Oryctolagus cuniculus: one gene and its partner. The main gene of each other region encodes a partner of the protein of the gene in region 2 in a complex. Links are inferred from orthologs where the notes say so. Each region holds a gene or a part of one and is shown on either strand. Other genes may lie near its edges.

Evidence for each region.
Region 1: the proteins of PDCL3 (region 2) and CCT3 are in contact, whole or in part, in a cryo-EM structure (PDB 8I6J), measured with the Homo sapiens proteins. The link is inferred for Oryctolagus cuniculus from reciprocal best matches to the Homo sapiens genes PDCL3 and CCT3. Residues at the interface, in NP_076970.1 of Homo sapiens: Glu66, Ala70, Met73, Tyr74, Arg75, Arg77, Arg78, Trp82, Leu182, Pro212, Lys213, Ile216, Glu217, Asp218, Val219, Arg226, Leu229, Met230; in NP_005989.3 of Homo sapiens: Met47, Pro53, Met54, Val58, Met59, Thr60, Asn61, Asp62, Ala65, Arg68, Glu69, Arg167, Ile258, Glu261, Phe264, Leu268, Gln269, Glu271, Ser297, Asp298, Leu299, His302, Ser380, Glu382, Ile383, Arg389.

What each region holds. Positions count from the first base shown.
Region 1 is NC_091438.1:42,410,018-42,419,845, reverse strand, and holds the end of CCT3 (T-complex protein 1 subunit gamma), read right to left. Parts: intron 9,111-9,828; coding exon 8,978-9,110; intron 8,830-8,977; coding exon 8,748-8,829; intron 7,303-8,747; coding exon 7,122-7,302; intron 5,362-7,121; coding exon 5,116-5,361; intron 4,926-5,115; coding exon 4,794-4,925; intron 4,484-4,793; coding exon 4,379-4,483; 3' UTR 4,158-4,378; downstream 1-4,157. UniProt on the Homo sapiens protein: Component of the chaperonin-containing T-complex (TRiC), a molecular chaperone complex that assists the folding of actin, tubulin and other proteins upon ATP hydrolysis.
Region 2 is NC_091433.1:108,016,617-108,026,749, forward strand, and holds the end of PDCL3 (phosducin-like protein 3), read right to left. Parts: intron 8,540-10,133; coding exon 8,449-8,539; intron 8,142-8,448; coding exon 7,998-8,141; intron 7,000-7,997; coding exon 6,791-6,999; intron 3,832-6,790; coding exon 3,689-3,831; 3' UTR 3,357-3,688; downstream 1-3,356. UniProt on the Homo sapiens protein: Acts as a chaperone for the angiogenic VEGF receptor KDR/VEGFR2, increasing its abundance by inhibiting its ubiquitination and degradation.

The DNA of each region.
Region 1 (9,828 bases), on a different chromosome or scaffold from region 2:
TCTCTCTGCCTTTCAAATACATTAAAGTATTCCTGTGTATTAAGGGTGTGTAACCCCCAACTGCACTGGCTCACCTCCTAAGAGATGAGCACTCCTGGCCTCTCCTACCGAGCAGTTACCTAAAGGGGGCACGTTTGGGGACACGAGGCCCAAATGGGATCCCAAAAATACCACTTTCCGGTAGGAAGGTCCACAGAGGAATTGGAAGGAATTCCAACAGTGTCCCCTAGACGGTTCTTTTTGTCAATCTTTTTTTTATTAACACCAGGAATGCAGGTTTTTGTCCCATTGTGAAGCGACACATCAGAAAATGCAGTCTGAAAGCAATGTGTGTATTGTCCCAAGAGGGAGGTCGGTTGGTAATTTTTTTGGGGGTGGGCTTACATTATTTGACTTATGAATACGTGTGGAACAAAATTCAAAAGGTATCCATCCAATGTTATCATCCCCATTTCCGCAGCAAACTGGCTTCTCCCAAGACAACCACCATCACCAGCTTATACTCTCCTCCTGAAGACAGCCCACGTTGGAAGTGCACTCCTGCAAACATGGTTTTCCATCCCCTTTTCACTCATACTGAGGACTGCTCCATCAACGCACTGCAAGTTGCCGCGCTCTCCCTGCGGGGAGGCCTCGTGGCTGTTCTCCAGAACCCTAGGGCTCTGGCACTGTTTTGCTGCGGTGAACAATGCTGGAAGGAACACCCCAGCACACACAGCACTTCACGTCATCACCAGTTCTGGAGGATGAACACCCAGCAGTGGAGTCGTCACGTCCGAGGTGCACCTGACACAGCCCGTTCTGGAGGGCTCACTTCCATGTACACCTGCCAGGCACTCGCCAAGCTGGGATTCTATTTCCCCATGAGTAAGGGTAAGAGTCTCATGTGTTAGTCACTAACTTACGCTTCTCTGGAGCTATTTCTACCATTAGCCTATTTTAAAAATGAACCTTTTTTCCTTAACTGCCAATTTTGCAAGTTCTTTATTGTTACAAACATCCTCCCTCCCCCATATTCTTGCTATGCAAATTTTTAGGTATTCTCCCCTCCCACACTGGTGTATTCTAAATCCCGTGTTTCTTTCTCATACGCTTTTATTTTCATTTTCTTGCACTCGAATCTTTCAGCCGCCCAGATCACTAGGGCTGCAGTGAAGCAGGGATCCAATCTGATTCTCTTCTTTCAAATGGCTACTCTGTGATGAACTGTTTCCTCAAAGTTTTTACTGAGCAAAAAAGTACCGCTGTGCTCCAGGGCAGGGCTGGGGGACCTTTCTTCTGCCAGGGCCATTTGGATATTTACATCATTTGTGAGCCGTAACAAAATTACTAACCTAAAAGTTGGCCTGCTTTAGATTAAAAAATAATTTTTTTTGACAGGCAGTTAGTGAGAGAAACAGAGAAAGGTCCTCCTTCTGTTGGTTCAACCCAAAATGGCCGCTGTGTGGCGCCGATCCAAAGCCAGGGGCCAAGTGCTTCCTCCTGGTCTCCCATGGGGTGCAGGGCCCAAGCACTTGGGCCATCCTCCACTGCACTCCCGGGCCACAGCAGACAGCTGGCCTGGAAGAGGGGCAACCAGGACAGAACCCGGTGTGCCGGTGCCGCAGGCAGAGGATTAACCTAGTGAGCCGAGGTGCTGGCCTCAAATTTTTTTTTATAAATTGGTAGTTTATTTTTGTACATATATATGGGGTGTAGTGACTTTTTTTTTTTTTTTTAAAGATTTATCTGAAAGGCAGGCAGAATTACAAAGAGGAAAAGGCAGAGAGAGATCTTCCATCCACTGGCTCACTCCCCAGATGGCCACCAACAGCTAGAGCTGTGCCAATCTGAACCCAGGAGCTTCCTCTGGGTCTCCCTTGTGGGTGCAGGGGCCCAAACACTCAAGTCTTCCTCCACTGCTTTCCCAGGCCATAGCAGAGTTCAAGTCGGAAGTGGAGCAGCCAGGACTAGAACCATATAGGTTCTATACCATACCCATATAGGATGCCAGCACTGCAGGCAGTGGCTTTACCCACTGCACTGTCCTCTCACTGAAAAATTTTTTTTTGACAGGCAGAGTGGACAGTGAGAGATAGAAAGGTCTTCCTTTTACCCTTGGTTCACCCTTCAATGGCCACTGTGGCTGGCACACCCCGCTGATCCGAAGCCAGGAGCCAGGTGCTTCCTCCTGGTCTCCCATGCTGGTGCAGGGCCCAAGGACTTGGGCCATCTTCCACTGCCTTCCTGGGCCACAGCAGAGAGCTGGCCTGGAAGAGGAGCAACCGGGACAGAATCCGGTGCCCCGACCGGGACTAGAACTCAGTGTGCCGGCGCCGCAAGGCGGAGGATTAGCCTACTGCAGTAGAGCCGCGGCCCCGGCCTGAATTTTTTTTTTTTTTTTTTTTTTAGAAAAGAGCCATCCTCCACCGCTATCTCAGGCCATAGCAGAGAGCTGGATCAGAAGAGGAGCGGCCGGGACTAGAACCAGCACCCATATGGGATGCCGGCACTGCAGGTGGTGGCTTTACCCACTGCACTGCCCCTTAAAGAATTTCAAGTCCATCCTGCAGTTGCCATGGCAATACCAGATCAAAGGATATTCCCCATCCCCACTCTAAGGTCTGGGACCTGATAACAAGTTAACAAGAATCATAGCTGAATGCAGGTTTTATTAATAGAAATTTGGGGCTGGCGCTGTGGCATAGCAGGTAAAGCTACTGCCTGCTGTGCCAGCATCCCATATGGGCGCCTGGCTGCTCCACTTCCAATACAGCTCTCTGCTATGGCCTGGGAAAGCAGTTGGTGGTTAGGTTGCTATTTGGGATACCTGCATCCCACGTCACAGTGCTTGGTTTAAGTGCCATTACCTAGCTTCTGATTCAGCTTCTGGTGTGTATACTGCAAGGAAGCAGATCATGGCCCACGTGTTTATCCCCATGCCACCCACATGGGAGACCTGAATGAAGTTCTGGGCCCTTGGTTTTAGACTGGCACACCCATGGTTATTGCTGACATTAAGGGCTCCAGCTGTTGTGGCCATATGGGGAGTGAACCAGTAGATGGGAAGACCTTTCTGTGTTAATTCTCAAAAAAACAAAAACAAAACAAACAAACAAAAAACCATTCATAGGGTACAGCTGGTTTGCTCTAGATCACCATCCTTTATTGGTCTTCCAAGCAATGTCTTTAAGATCTTTGCTTATTTGTACTTTTGCAAGCCTCTGTCCACTCTGCACCTCAGGTTGTTTGACAGCATAGCTTCCAGAGCCACACTACTTAGATCTTCATTTGCTCTCAGCCCGAAGGCAAGAAGTGAGGATCTGCCTAGATCTCCAGGCTTGCCAGTTACCAGCTCTGTGACCCTCAGACAAGTCACTGTTTCAGATTCCCCCTCACAAAACAGGGAAAACATTATCCATCTTACAGGGCTGCTGTGAGGATTAGTTTAACATACACAAAGCACTCAGAACACACCTGTTACATGCTACCTACCATTCTACCAAGTCTTCAACTTAAAGTGACTAAGTCCTGTGGCCAGGGAGGAGATAAGACTGAATGTATGAATCATAGGGACAAAGGCCCAGTAGCCCAAAGGACAGACTACGAATAAATTAAAGGCTGGCCCCACACAGTACATTGCTCATCTTTGTCCCCTTGGTAAAAACAGCAGAAAATGAGATTCAAATGCTTTGTTTCAGCTAGCAGGGAAGACAGAGCTGACTGTTACACAATCCTGGCATGAGAACATGCTAGCAAATTAAAATATAGATTAGGAAGAACACTGGGAGAATGTAGAGCAAAGGAGCTACAGGTTAAGGTCGGGAAGATCGTGGAAACAACAAAATACAAAAAGAGATGCTCTAAGTCTTTCTGGACATAAGCCTGAGCCCTGGCACACACGGGGTGTTGCTCTACATACAATCGCAGCTGGGGAACACCCTACATCTAGACAGGTTCCTCCTGTTCCTTGGGTGCTCCTAAAGCTTTATACTGTCGTCCTTTAAATTCCGTAAGGATCTTCCCAACAAATTGACTGAGACATGTGAAAAACCCCATCAAGAAGACTTAATGACTTCACTCCAGTCTCCCTTCTTCCTCAGTGTGCTTTTCTGGCTCCTCCCTTTTTGTCAGGAGGCAGAGATACGACCAAGGTTGAAAAACACATAACAACTATCTCAAATGACTTAGATTTAATCATCGGAAGCAAACTAAATGGAAAGCTTACAATAGAGAATTACATGTCAGTGCCTTTTGCAAACTGAGCTGGGACAGAAAGGGCCTGGGGGCTGCCCCTCAACCTGATCCCTTCCGAACAAAGACATCCAGTGTCCTGGGCACGCTGGCGCAGGAGGGGGCCTCCGCTGGCTCTCTGTGTTGAGGTTGTCCTGTGCACCACTCACTCCTGGCTAGCGTCAGGAGCCCCACCTTGCCGGCTTTGGTCATCGCCCTTCTTTTTGTGACCTGAGACGATGTCATCGATCCGTAGCAGCAGAACTGCCGTCTAGGAGAAAAAACCACACCCCCAAGAGGTCAGCAGAGAAGGGAAAAGACATGTTCTCTTTCAGACAGTATCACCCAGCTCCTCCCAAAGAATTTCCATTTTCTCTGAATCCTGCCTCTTCCCAGTCTTTAAAAGGCAGCTCCCCCTGAGCAATGCAGCTCGTGCTGCTGTGTGTGCTTCAGCTGAGTAGGGAAACGGAAGGCCTTGGGAGACCTCTGGGGAATACTCTGCCTTCTGTAACCCCTCCCTTCAAGACTGGTTTCTGGTGATCCCAAAATAAACCGCGTGCACATGTCCTCGGGAGCCTTACTTCCACTGCTGTCTTATACGTCTGCAGCTTCACAGCCAGGGGCTCCCATATGCCCAGCTCTTTCATGTCCACCAAGGTACCCGTCTCACCATTCACACCCCAGGTCTCACAGTTCTCCTGGGTGTGCTTGGCCTGCAGTTGAAACAAGCAGATTGAGTTCAAGTAGTGAGCAGGGAACAGGAACATTAGATAAAAAACTAAACCAAAAATACTGGATTGACATGGAAACAGCAATGAAAGCACACACAGATGAAAAGGAACAAACTACAGGTGAACAGAGAACCTTCCCCTCCTCACCAAAACAGCATGAAGAGGAACTCACCCGAAGAGAGGTAAGTAGACGGATGGTGCTGGCCCCGCAGTTCTGGATCAGGGTACGGGGGATGACCTCTAGGGCCTGGGCAACAGCCCTGTATGGCCACTGCTCCACGCCAGTCATGGCCTTGGATTTTTCTGTCAAGGCGTGGGCCACAGCCATCTCAGAGGCCCCACCCCCTGGCACCAGCTGGGGGTCCAGGAGAACATTGCGGCACACCTGCATGGCATCCTGGAGGTTGCGCTCTACTTCCTTGGGGAAATAAACAGACAGTATGAAGCCAAAGCGTGCTGACTCATAGAGGAATAGAAACACCAATAGATTTCCTAGATGCTAAGGTTAGCAAATCACCAAGGAGGGTAACCAGAAAAGGTCCTTGAAGTCCTACTGGTCAAGGCAGAGGCTAACTACCCAGGAAGAATGTGTAATTCATGACTCCAAGAGGGCAAGGGTCGGGAGGTGTCATCCCAGCTGTGAAGTCAGGGCTCTGTTACGCTGCACAGAATGACACTCCGTCCCTCCCTAGTTGCATCCTTTAGGAGGCTGTATGGTGTAGTGGAAAGATTCTCTTATGGATTAGGGATGTTGTCTTTGGGAAAGTTATTTTGCCTAATTGAGGAAAAAAAGCAGTATTGATTATTTCTACTTAAAAAATAGGCAGTGGTTGCATAGAAGAGCAAACGGCAAGTCGTACTCAGTAAATGTAGGATCTGGAGATCCCTTGCACAAGAATGTGAACGCAGGGTGAGCACCATGGCACAGTGGGGCGAGCCACCACTTAGGCTGCCTCGTTCAGTACTGGAATACTAGGCTACTCTGCTTCTAATCCAGCTTCCTGACAATGTGTCTGGAAGGCAGTGGATGATGGCCCAAGATCTTCCATCTGCTTGTTCACAGCCTCACCCCCCACCCCATTTGCCTGCCAACAGCCAGGACTCAATCAGGCTTAGGCCAGTAGCTTGGAACTCCAAGGGTGGCAGGGGCCCGGGCATTTGAGCCACTGTCTGCTGCTTCCCAGGATACATCAGCAGGAGCTGGGTCACGGGTGGACATGGGTGTCCTAAGCTGCAGCCTGGCCCACCGTACCATAAGGCCTGTAAATTTTAAGTTTTATGTTTTAAACCATTAAAATTTTTTTTTTTTTTTTTTAATTTTTTATTTTATTTTATTTTTGACAGGCAGAGTGGACAGTGAGAGAGAGAGAGACAGAGAGAGAAAGGTCTTCCCTTGCCGTTGGTTCACCCTCCAATGGCCGCCGCTGCAGCCGGCGCACCGCGCTGATCCGATGGCAGGAGCCAGGATCCAGGTGCTTCTCCTGGTCTCCCATGGGGTGCAGGGCCCAAGCACCTGGGCCATCCTCCACTGCATTCCCTGGCCATAGCAGAGAGCTGGCCTGGAAGAGGGGCAACCGGGACAGAATCCGGCGCCCCGACCGGGACTAGAACCCGGTGTGCCGGCGCCGCAAGGTGGAGGATTAGCCTATTGAGCCACGGCGCCGGCTAAACCATTAAAATTTTTAAAAATTAGTTTTAAAAAAAGGAGTGGGGGAGCTGGGGTCAGTGTTGTGTAGTAGTGGGTAAAGTTGCCGCCTGAGATGCTGGCATCCCATATGGGTGCTGGTTCGAGTCCTAGCTGCTCCACTTCCGATCCAGCTCCTTGCTAACAGTGGAAGACGGCTTAAGTGCTTGGGTTCCTACATCCACGTGGGAGACCTGGATGAAGCTCCTGGCTCCCGGCTTCAGTCTGGCCCAGTTCCAATCATTGGGGCCATTTGGGGAGTGAACCCAGTGGATGGAAGGTATCTCTCCTTTTTTCCCTTTGTAATTTGCCTTACAAATAAATAAATCTTAAAAAAAAAAAAAAAAAAAAAAAAGGAAGCAGGGAAGTTATTTGTGGTTACAGAGACAAATCAAATAGCTACAGATGGGCAACAGGTGCTTTCTGCCCTCTGGGAAACTCTCGAGAAGTGCAATGACCTCCTTCATTTGGTCCCACTTCTTAGGTGGACTCACCGAGAGAATCTCTTTGCTGGCTCCCCTGAGGAGAATTGTGCAGGCCTTAGGGTCCTTGCATTCAGTGATGAATGTAAAATACTCATCTCCAATCTTCTTGATTTCCAGTAGGCCAGCTCCCGTTCCAACATCATCTTCTCTCAATTCCTCTGGTCGGCTGACTATCCGGGCCCCACAGGCTCTATTGGAGGGGGGGGGGGGGGAACCAGGCAACTTGAACTACTTTTTAACCATCTCCCTAGTCCCTAGGATCTGTATGTGGGAATTAGGGCAAAACTGGATTATCAGAAACATCACTTGAGGGGTCTTGGCTGCCTAGCAGAAAGGGTTTATAACCATATAAAGGCAAACTTACTTAAATGAGTAGGCTTTATTAAATAAAACCATGTATATACCGAAGGTTAATAATCATCACTACTATAACCAAATACGAGTATCTGGAAGAATGAGTTCTCATGCATATCTAACATGCACATACCACACAATGGTCATGTCTACACAGAACTGATCCCACTCCCCAGCTGGGTCCTGAGGTCAGTTACAGGATTGTTCCGAAGAAGAGGTCAAGGTCACGCAATGAAGGTGAATTAAGTACCTAGTCTGACCCAATTTTAATGAACATACACTGATTTTTTTTTTTAACTTTTTTTTTTTTTTTTGACAGGCAGAGTGGACAGAGAGAGAGAGAGACAGAGAGAAAGGTCTTCCTTTGCCATTGGTTCACCCTCCAATGGCTGCCGCGGCCGGCGCACCGCGCTGATCCGATGGCAGGAGCCAGGAGCCAGGTGCTTTTCCTGGTCTCCCATGGGGTGCAGGGCCCAAGCACTTGGGCCATGCTCCACTGCACTCCCTGGCCACAGCAGAGAGCTGGCCTGGAAGGGGGGCAACCGGGACAGAATCCGGCGCCCCGACTGGGACTAGAACCCGGTGTGCTGGCGCCGCTAGGCGGAGGATTAGCCTAGTGAGCCGTGGCGCCGGCCTCATACACTGATTTTTTAAGTGTAACTCTCTCCCCTCAATTCCTGTGCAAGTGGAATCAACTCTTCATAGAACCCAAAGTCATTGCAGAGCAAGCAGAAGAATGAAATTCAGTTTGGACTGTGACGCACTGTGCGATGTTCGGACAGACTTTTCGGTTTCTTAACAGATTAGTATTAAAAGTGGATGGTGTATCCGAGTATAAACAGAAGTAGCAAATGCAACCTAGAGTCCCATTAACAGCAGCTGAGGATCTAGTCACAGAAACGGATGGTTCTGCTATATTCTGAGCCAGTTAAAACAGACTACTCTGGAAATTCATCCACACTCATCACGGTGACAGTGAAGAGAAGGACTATTTGACAAGTAGCTATTTAGCGACATAATGGATACTTATACCAAGGTAGCGATTACAGATGTCTAAGCACAAGCTGCTCACTCGTGGTTAGGCACATTACAGAGGAGACCCATGCAGTGGGTAATTGCTGGACTAGAGGACTTCTGAGGAGGGCAGACAGTTAAATCCAGGTTATTTCTCCCTGTCATTGTAGTCTGTATTACACCTTCTCAGGTAATGACTCCATTATACAGCCACAAAAAAAGAAACCCACCCACGGGAAGGCTCTTATTTTTACCTGGCTTACTCACCTAGCGATGCGATTATTGTCTGTCTTCCGGACTCTGCGGATGGCTGTGACATTGGCCCGCATGAGGTAGTGCTGAGCTAGATCTGCAAATCCAACAGCAGGCGTCAAGCTGGATGCCAGAATTCTTGGGTTTATCCTTAAAGCGCTCCACCACACAACCAACACGGGGAGTAAGGAAGTTCACGCACCCTCTCCCACCCCCAGGCAGGCTGGGGCCCGGCGCAGCCCTACCTGAGATGCCCTTTTCTGTGATGACCACGTCAGGCTTCAGCTGGATAATGTCCTCACAGAGCTGCTGGATGTACTCTTCTTCCATCTGAAGAATCCGGGTGAAGTCCTCCTCTCGAGTGATCTCAATGTCAGTCTGTTTGGTTGAGTAAGAGTCCTCTGATTTAAAAATCCCCGCACTGACAAGGCCCTTCAGGGTCACCCCAACTCCTACACTCCCTGCACCCACAACTCCCATACACCCCAGGAAGTAAGAGTCAGAGTAAGGGCAGATCTGTGACCTCACACCTCTGTAAGCCACTTTCACTCCAGCTGTCACCCAGTTTAGCGCCTGCATTAAATTATAAAGCAACCAGAACACAAAGTCACATAGCCATCAGTGGTGAGTTCAGCTTTTTTTTTTTTAAAAAGATTTAATTTATTTGAAAGGCAGACTTACAGAGAGTTAGTGAGAGATCAATCTTCCATCTGCTGGTTCACTCCCTAAATGGTCAAGGCTGGGCCAGGCTGAAGCCAGGAGCCAGAAGCTTCTTCCTGATCTCTCACATGAGTTCAGGGGCTCAAGTACTTGTGCCATCTGCTGCTGCTTTCCCAGGCGCATTAGCAGAGAAGCAACCGGGTCTCGCACCAGTGCCCACACTGGATACTGGTGTCACAGGCAGTGGTTTAACCTGCTACACCACAATGCTGGCCCTCAAGTTTGGCCTTCCTAATGTCTCTGACCACCCAATTCAGTATCAGCCCTGTCCTGCTAGTATGTGTGGAAATTCTGGGTCTTAATTCTTCCCCCAATTAAATTTTTGTTTGAAATCCTTGTTTATAAAATTCAATGATTTTGCTTTAGAACAGGGCCA
Region 2 (10,133 bases):
AGAGATCTTCCATCCTCTGGGCCCATTTAAGGTTAAGTAAGGTTTACTTACACCTGGCCCATTATCCACTGCTCTCCCAGGCACATTAGCAGGGAGCTGGCTCAGAAGTGGAGCAGCCAAGACTCAAACCGGTGCTCACAGGCGATGTTGGCATCACCGGCATTGGCTTCACCTGCTACCCCACAATGCTGGCCCTCAGGACAGCTTCCCTGAAGCCCTTCTGCACAACAAGGCGGTGACTGCTGACCTGCACGCTGGGCCTGAGAATGTGAAGTGGGGCTGGCGACGAGGCAGGTGTGGGTATCACCTCTGTGCGTCCACAATGCACACAGCTTCTACAATGAGCAGATTCACAACCTATCAACACACACCTTCTCTTCCACAAGGAGATCGGAATCCATTGCCTTTTTTTTTTTTTTTTTTTTTTTTTTTGACAGGCAGAGTGGACAGTGAGAGAGAGAGACAGAGAGAGAAAGGTCTTCCTTTGCCGTTGGTTCACCCTCCAATGGCCGCCGCTGCAGCCGGCGCACCGCGCTGATCCGATGGCAGGAGCCAGGATCCAGGTGCTTTTCCTGGTCTCCCATGGGGTGCAGGGCCCAAGCACCTGGGCCATCCTCCACTGCACTCCCTGGCCATAGCAGAGAGCTGGCCTGGAAGAGGGGCAACCGGGACAGAATCCGGCGCCCCGACCGGGTCTAGAACCCGGTGTGCCGGCGCCGCAAGGTGGAGGATTAGCCTATTGAGCCACGGCGCCGGCTGGAATCCATTGCATTTAATTATACAGTCTTAACCATTTCAATTCTCCCAGTATTTCCTCTCGATTTTCCGAAACCACTGAACCACTTCTCACCAATCACTTAAAGAAGGGCTACTTAGCACTTCCTGTAACCTTCACCCCAGAGAACTAGAAGCCGGGACATAGGTGTTCTTGTCTGCTTCCCCATCTACGAGCTTCTGCTTGTCTGTGGAAGAAAAACGCAGTGCTCAGTGCCACATCTCATCACCTGTCAGATCACTAAGCTGTGAAGCAAACAGAACACACAGAGAAGTCTTGGGGCCAGCTGTGCGGTGTAGTGGGTTATGCCGCCACCTTCAACACCCGCATCCCATATGGGTGCTTGTTCAAGTCCCAGCTACTCCACTTCCAATCCAGCTCCCTGCTAATGCACCTGGGAAAGCAGTGGAGGACAGCCCAGGTGCTTGGACCCCTGTGCCCACATGGGAGACCCAGAAGGAGCCCCTGGCTCCTGGTTTCCACCTGACCCAGCCCTGGCTGTTGCGATCATTTGCGGAGTGAAGCAGCAGATTGAAGATCTCTGTCCCTCTTCCAAATAAATCTTAGGAAAAAAAAAAAAAGAAAAAAAGGAAGTCTCCAGAAACTGTAGGAACTTGCGAGTCAGACATATTCCAAATCACAATCCTAATTTTAGGAGATGCTTCTTCCCTTAAATCAAGTTCACTTCGTAAGTAAAACAGCTGCCTGGGTCCCGGGTGCTGGCAGCTGGTGAGAACTCATTAGCCAAGGCCATGGGCACTGGGGCCTTTGTGTGGTCCAGTGAAGGGCCTCATTCTGGTGTGGAAGCAAGGTGAGGAGGCCTAGCTTTCTCTCGGATCAAAGTGGCACTGGGAGTATCCAGAATTAGATTCTGCAAGGCCCCCCAGTGGAACAAGCCTGCAGGTCCCCACCACTGTGAACACCGGGGACTTAAGTGTTCATATCACGGCTCTCAAAACGTGCAGCATCCAACTTCCCTGCTTTGTTCTTCCCCAGCATCACAAGACTTAGGAAGGGAGCCGGCTCTCCTATAAAAAGCTGACGGAATTGGTGCACGTGTGACAGACCCAACCCAGCTGGTGCCAACTCTGCAAGTAAGATTTCAGGAAACACCCTTCGTGGTGAGCCATCGCTGCACGTTGGCATCAGCCAGTTCTGATGTATCCAACGAAATAGCACTAAGACAGACACTTCTGATAGCTACTGGTAAAATGGGCCACAGCCACTGTAATTCAGTAAAGCAGAGCAAAAATTAAAGTCAATATAACCTGAAAGAACTCTGTGCTGATTCCTAATTTTACGACTCAAACCAGCACTAAGACTATATCGTTCAACACAAACCAAGGGATTTGTCAATTTGACAAGAAGTGATAAATGCTAACTGCATTTTGGGTCACAAAACACCCTGATGTGGGGGCCGACGCTGTGGTGCAGCGGGTTAAAGCCCCAGCTTGCAGCTCCAGCATCCATATGGGCGCCAGCTGGAGTCCTGGCTGCTCCACTTCCGATCCGGCTACCTGCTGATGGCCTGGGAAAGCAACGGAGGATGGCCCAAATGCTTGGGCCCCTGCACCCACATGGGAGACCTGGAAGAAGCTCCTGGCTCAGCTCCTGCCATTGTGGCCATCTGGGGAGTGAACCAGTGGATAGAAGACCTCTCTGTCTCTACTTTTCTCTGTAACTCTTTCAAATAAGTAAGTTTTTGTTTTAAAGATTTTTTATTTATTTATTTGACAGGTAGAGTTACAGACAGTGAGAGAGAGAGACAGAGAGAAAGGTCTTCCTTCCGTTGGTTCACCCCCCCAAATGGCCGCCACGGCCAGAGCTATGCAGATCCGAAGCCAGGAGCCAGGTGCTTCCTCCTGGTCTCCCATGTGGGTGCAGGTCCAAGCACTTGGGCCATCCTCCACTGCACTCCCAGGCCATAGCAGAGAGCTGGATTGGAAGTGGAACAGCCAGGACTCGAACCAGCACCCACATGGGATGCCGGCACTGCAGATGGCAGCTTTACCACTATGCCACAGTGCCAGCCTCTAAGTAAGTTTTTAAAAAAAAATCCTGTTGTGTTTTTTACTGATTGAATTTATTTATGTGTGTGCTTCTATCTTGCTTATTTCCAAAATATAATTGAATGCGGCCTTTTATAATAAGGTCAGCTGGCATCTCAATAATCTGAGGTGAACATTAAGTAGAAGAAACATTTAACCAAAGAAATGTAGCAGCAGATTGAAATCCTTCAGGGGCTGGCGCTGTGGCATAAAAAGCCGCTGCCTGCGGTGCCGGCATCCCATGTGGGCGCCGGTTTGAGTTCTGGCTGCTCCACTTCCGATCCAGCTCTCTGCTATGGCCTGGGAAAGCAGTAGAAGATGGCCCAGGTCCTTGGGACCCTGCACTCACGTGGGAGACCTGGAAGAAGCTCCTGGCTTCAGATGGGCCCAGCTCCAGCTATTACAGCCATCTGGGGAGGGAACCAGAGGATGGAAGACCTCTCTGTCTCTGCCTCTCTCTGTCTCTGCCTCTCTGTAACTCTGCCTTTCAAATAAAAGAAATAAATCTTTAAAAAAATAAACGGTGTGCAATATTTCCATGGTATAATTTATTCACTTTTATTAAAAAAACACACATTCCTTTATATCTAGTTGTATGTTAAAACATAGTGAATAACTTTATGACTTCCTGAAAATATATGTGAGGAAAAACAGACATTTGTCATACCAACAGTAGGTATTAGTTTAAAAAGATAGTTCCAATAATTTAATAAAATTCCAGCAATGATTATTTCTGAAATGTAAAAGATTTGAAACATAATTATAAAAGGTTAAAAACCAAAAGGATTCACTCCTGCTTTTTAAAAAAAACATCCAGACAGTTTGTCACGTCCAGGAAGTTCGGCAAGTGATAGCGGCTGCAGCCTCAGTCACCCTCGGAATCGCTGTCCCTCCTGGCGGGGACAGAGCACCGCACCGAGGACAGCAGCACGTCTTCGATCGGCTTCCTGGGGTTCTCCTCCAGGTCTGTCTTGATCGCCCCGGACTTGGCCAGTTTCCACTCCAACTCTACATGATCGAGAAAAAGCCAATCACATAAGGCTCCCCTCACCCTAAGTCCATCAAGCTGCGGTTTTCCTAAGCAGAAAATATAATCTCAAAATCTGATGACCAATTTAATGTTTTTGCCAAGAAGAAAGCGAAAAAAAAAGGTAACACCTTGGGACCAGTGCTGTGGAGTAGCAGGTTAAGCTGCCACCTGCAGTGCCGGCATCCCATATGGGCACTGGTTCGAGTTCCGGCTGCTCCACTTCTGATCCAGCTCTCTGCTATGGCCTGGGAAAGCAGTAGAAGATGGCCCAAGTCCTTGGGCCCCTGTACCCACATTGGAGACCAAGAAGAAGCACCTGGCTCCTGGCTTCGGATCAGTGCAGCGGCCGTAGTGGCCAATTGGGGAGTGAACCAACGGAAGGAAGACCTTTCTCTCTGTCTCTCTCTCTCTGTCTATAACTCTACCTGTCAAATAAGTTAAAAAAAAAAAAAAAAAAAAAGTAAGGAATCAGAGACTCGGCCTCTGTGCTTCCTCACTCCCTCTCACCCGTGAGACTCACGCAGCCCGAGACCGCATGTAGCCAAATCACGGGACGGATTTCTCCGGGCAGAGAACATCTCAGGCAGAGCAGAGGGACTGCCCGAGAGATTCCATAACCAACGGCTTGGAGAAGGTGGATCAGCGCAGAGAGGCTCTGCCAGCCAGGTCCTTCTAACCAGACCTCACACCCAGCCTTACTGCAGTCGCGTGACTTTAAAGCGCTCCGTGAAACAGAGCACCGAGCGGCAGCTACCAGGGCTCGGGGTAACAAAGTCTCTGATAGCCAGGTGGGCAAGTTCTGGAGAGCGAGGCACAGCATGGCGATGCAATGCACTGTGCACCTGAACCGCGCCAGCATGGTGACCTGCAGCGTCCTCACCAAAGTGCAAAGGAGACTGCGTGAGGAGCTGGGCGTGGCAACGGGCTGGACCGTGCTGCCGGTCTCACACGGTGTTCCCATTTCAGATCCTCGTGCTCTACAGCTTTAATGTACACTTTTTTTTTTGGGGGGGGGGGGGTCAATCGTACCTCATTAGTGGTGTGGGGAAAGGTGCTCCATGGAGATAAATACCATCAGTAGTTTCAGCTCTACATACCTTGGTTTACCATTCTGAAAATTCGACAAAATTCATTTTGAAAAATTTAAGATTTCTGCTTCTTAAGAATATGTATCTTGGGGCTGGCACTGTGGCATAGTGGGTAAAGCCGCGGCCTGCAGTGCCAGCATCCCATATGGGTACCGGTTCGAGTCTTGGCCGCTCCATTTCTGATCCAGTCTTTGCTATGGCCTGGGAAAGCAGAAGATGGCCCAAGTCCTTGGACCCCTGTACCCATGTGGGATACCTGGAAGAAGCTCCTGGCTTCTAGTTTTGGATCAGCCCAGTTCTGGCTGTTGCGGCCATTTGGGGAGTGAACCAGCAGTTGGAAGACCTTTCTCTCTCCGCCTCTCTGTACCTCTGCCTTTCAAATAAATTAAAAAAAAAAGAATATGTATATTTATATATCCACCATACATGAACAGGTATGTATTTAATGACACTGTTCACTCCCCATGTGACTACTGTTACATACAAGGTCACTAATCCACAAGTCAGTCTTTGTGTGGCAACAGACTACAGCTATGATCGCATATTGCTGTGGTTTAGATGTGGCTTGTCCCTGCCAAAAAAGCTGCAATTTGGTTGCCAGGGTAGCAAGGTTGGGAGGCGGGCCCCTTAAAGGAGATACATACTCTTCTGGAGAAACTGAACTGGTTTTCCCAGGAATGGATTTGTTCTCGAGAGCAGGTTGTCACAAAGCAAGCCTGGCACGTCCCTGGGTCTCTGTCCCACACAGGCCTCTGCTTCTCTGACATGACAGACACAGCCCAAGGCACTCCCCAAAAGCCAAGCGCATGCCTGTGCCACTCTCCTGGGCTTCCCCACCTCCCAAACGGGAGCTGAGTGAGATACACGACTTTCCTTCAGATGTCACTCAGCCTGGGGTACTTTGTTAAAGAAACAGAAAATAGACTACCATGCCAATCTCCATGCACAGTACATTCAAAAAAGGTCAAAATTAGGTTGGAAGACCTCTCTCTCTGCCTCTCCTCTCTCTGTGTAACTCTTTCAAATAAATAAATAAATAGGTCAAAATGAGATGCCAGCATGCATTTGAAACACTATACACCTTTCAACACTGGAATGACATATAACAAACATGTATGAGATGCATGTTTATACTTTTCCCAGTGAACTATTTTAGTGGTGTAATATATAAAATGTTGAAAATATTTTTGAAGACTATTCAAGCATGGTTGGACACAGTCCTTGAGTAGAGAGAATTTGCCTCTGGCCTCAGGTTCTCTCATTAAGCATGGATAAACACTTTGCCATCTCCATGTGTAACACATGGGAAGGAATTTTTTTTAATCCTTCCAGAGTTACAGGCAAAAATAAATAAAGTTTAAATTGAAAAGCTACTAAGGTACTCAACTGAGAAAATATTTCAACAGAGAAATATACATACATATGAGGGCTTCAAAAAATTCATGAAAAATGTGTATTATGAAAAACTATACAAGGGTCTCAAAAAATCTTTTTGCACCAAAATAGATTTATCTTCTAATTTTATCATACCACAAACTTTTTAGACTGAACTCCTATGTGTCTTCAACAATACGTTGATGTGAGCAAAAAATGAATGTTATATTGGGCTACACTTAAAAAATATTTAGCTGCAGGGCCAAATAAAGTATATTTGACATTAACGTTAAACATGTAGCTAGGTTCTCTGTGTCTTCCTTTGAGAACTGCTGCAGCCCCGCTGTGACTGCTCCTAACTAGTTGCTAAGACAGGAGACCAAATGCACAGCTGCCCACATGGCAACACCCGGCCAGCAAACAAGCACTCTCAGTAACAGAAAAACCCCCTCCCCGGCCCTCATACGCCCCTTACCATCTCGAGTCAAGTTCATGCCGCCGAACACCAGTGGGCCAACAAACTGAGCCTTGATCTCGCCTTCCAGGTACACGAATACCGTGGGCAGATTCCTATCTGGATAATTGGGTATGCAGGTTGTTGAAATGGCTTTGATGAACTTCACATCAGGAAACTTCCTGGCAAGTGCGCTGAAGTGCTGATTTATCAAGGCACAGAGGGGAATCCTGGAACACACAAACAGAATGCAGAGGCACTGGTGATTCCACTACCGGCCAAGACCAATCAGCACTTCCTAATATGTCCATGTGAAGTGAAGAACTTGAAACCCAAAGTCCAATTTCATTTGATACAACAACAGCTCAGGAAAACAGTGTCAGCATAAAAGACAACTGCTATGGCCTTCCATAAGGTCGAATGAGAGAACACCAAAGATGCAGAATGTGTGAAACAGGCCAGAACATATTTCCTGCTTTAAGGAAATGCCACAAAAAGCACTGGGCTCTACAGGTTAGGAGCAGGACTGAGCGTGGAGGGAGGCTGGAGGCCCTCAGCACCACACGGCAGACAATGGCTGGGAGGTCACCTTCTCTGTCTGCAGGAACCATGAACTATAGAATTTGGAATTGCCGGAGTCCCAGGAATTCCTTTTCAGTGAAAGCAAACTGACTCTTCAACTATACTTTTTTTTTTTTTAATTTGAAAGGCAGAGTTATGGATAGAGGAGGAAAGATGGAGAGAGAGAGGTTTTCCATCTCTGGTTCACTCCCCAAATGGTCACAACGGCCAGGGCTAGGCCAGGCTGAAGCAAGGGGCCCAGTGCTGCTTCTGGGTCTCCCACATGCGTGCAGGGGTCCAAGCGTCCAGGCCATCCTCTGCTGCTCTCCCAGGCGCATTGGCAGGGAGCTGAATCAGAAGCAGAGCAGCCGGGTCTCAAACTGGCACCCATTTGGGATGCTGGTGTTGCAGGCGGAGGCTTAACCCACTATGTCACAACGCCAGCCCCTTCTTTGCTATATTTTTACAGAGACAATTGCATTGAGTCACAGATATTAATTTGGTAGTCAAGATAAAAATTAGGCATTAAAGCTTTAGTAAATGAGCAACAAAAACACATAACACTAATAAACAACGACAAATACCAGAATATGGAATAAGCTTGATATGGATTCAACATATAAATTAAAATTCACATGTTCTAGAACACAAAAGATGATCAGCTCACCCTTGTTTGTAAAGGTGCAAGATTACCCACAAGCCCTCACCAGCTTTGGTAACTTCTTGGACATAATCTTTTCCTGAAATCTCCAAAACTTCTCCAAATTTATTCTTTTCTTGAGTTGCTCTCCACTCGGCCAGTCTTTGCTGCCTGGACAACAGACAGAGAAAATATCTTCTAACACATGCACATATGTACGCATGCACAAATACACACACAAATAGCCATCTTCCACTGCCTTCCCAGGCGCATTAGCAGGGGAGTTGAGTCAGAAGTGGAACAGCCAGGACTCTAACTACCACTCATATGGGATGCTGGCAATACAGGCAGTGTGGCTCCATCCACTGTGCCACAACACCAGCCCCCAGAAAAGTAAATTTACAATGGATGCACATTTTACGGTATGGTAAAAATTACCACGCAAAAAACCTAAACGGTCCCTCTGAGTGGCACTAACCTGTACATTTCAATAGCACGTTCATCCTCTTCATTGAATTCGTCTTCATTATCTTCCAGTTCTTCCAATGTCATATCTTCATACGTCTTCACTGAATTTAGTTACAACAGCCAAAGCAAAAAAAACAAAAATTCAAGATGAACAAACATGCATTTTGGGTATTCCCCTTCGCTTTTCTCCTAAAGGTAAGCACACAATACCAGCAGGCCCCAGCTCACCAACATAAAGATTACTTACATCTCACTAGTGAATAAGACGTGGGGGGTGTTTTAAAAAGAAAAACCTGTGCGGACACCTACAGACGGGAGCATCTCACCCCCACACAGTGAGTGGATGGGTGAGAAATCTCCCAGGTTTACAAAGCCCGAAGTCCCCTGGTCGGGCATATCCACTAGCGGCAGGTGTATCAACAATTCTACTACCCAAGGAGTCGGGGTGATGGCAGCAGGGGACCTTCCCACACACACTTTCCTGGAGTTAAAGGTGACCGTCATGTATTTCTTGGCCATGTCTTCTGTGTGGCAGGCAACTCTATCCTTTCTTGTAATGAACTGGTATAAAATCAGCATCTCATTTTTACTGTCACTCCTGCTTGACAGCAAACCTGGCTTTCGCTGTGCCTCCAACAAAACTCTCATCCAGGTCAACAACCTCATTCCCTGATGACGAGCGGCACCTGATCCAAGCCGTCCCGGCCTCCCCTGGCTTCCAGGAGGCCCCGTTCTCCTCCTGCCCCTACAGCTGTGCCCACTGTGAACCTTCTGCTGATGACAAGTGCTCAGGGTTCAATTCTTTGACTCAGCTTCTATGCCTGCACCCTCAGTGACTACTCCTAGGGGCTTTGTGTGTTTTCGGTACACTCACAACTCCTAAAGTCACATCCCCAGCTCACACTTCTCTGAAAACACACCCAACCACCTGCTTAGCCCCTCTACTTGTTCCGTGAGACTCTCAAAGTTAACATGTCCCAAACAGAGTCTCCATCTTCCTGCAAACCTGCTCCTCTCCAAGCCTTCATCTCAGTTGGTGGCAACTCCACCCTTCAGGTTGCTCAGGCACTAAGGCGTGCAGTCACTCTAACTGCAGTGGTCTGAACAAGATCTGGCTTCCTAATTCATGCAGCTGTTGAAATCCCAAACTCATAATAGCACTAGGAGGGTGGAAACTTAAACCACTTATGGTGTATAGAAGGTAGGTCCAGTGAGTGGGAAGTCCGTAGGCCCCTGGAAGGTCGTTTTTCCAAGAGGACTGGTTATAAAAGTCGAGTCGGGCCCAGCCACGCCTCTTCCTGGCTGGCCATGGGACCCTTTTCCACAGCAGCTCTCCATGCTCCACCACTGCCACCTTGCCACATTAGGGGCCAAACCAATGGGGCCCCATTCTGGGACTTAAACCTCCAAAACAATTCGTTTTCGTTTTCTCGGGTACTGTGTTGGAGGGATGAGAAGCCCATGAATACGCTTAGCTCTCTTAGCCTTCCTTGGGTCCAGAAGCAAATCCCACTACAACCTGACTACACCACTACTCACCATTTCACCTTCACCACACCATTCTGAGCCAATGCAGCCTCTCACCTGAACTACCACAACAGTTTCCGGCCGTGTCCCCCACCCCAAAGCCTACGCTCAGCTAGGCAGCAACAGGACAGCGCTGTCAAAGTGGAGGTCATGTCACTGCTCTGTTTC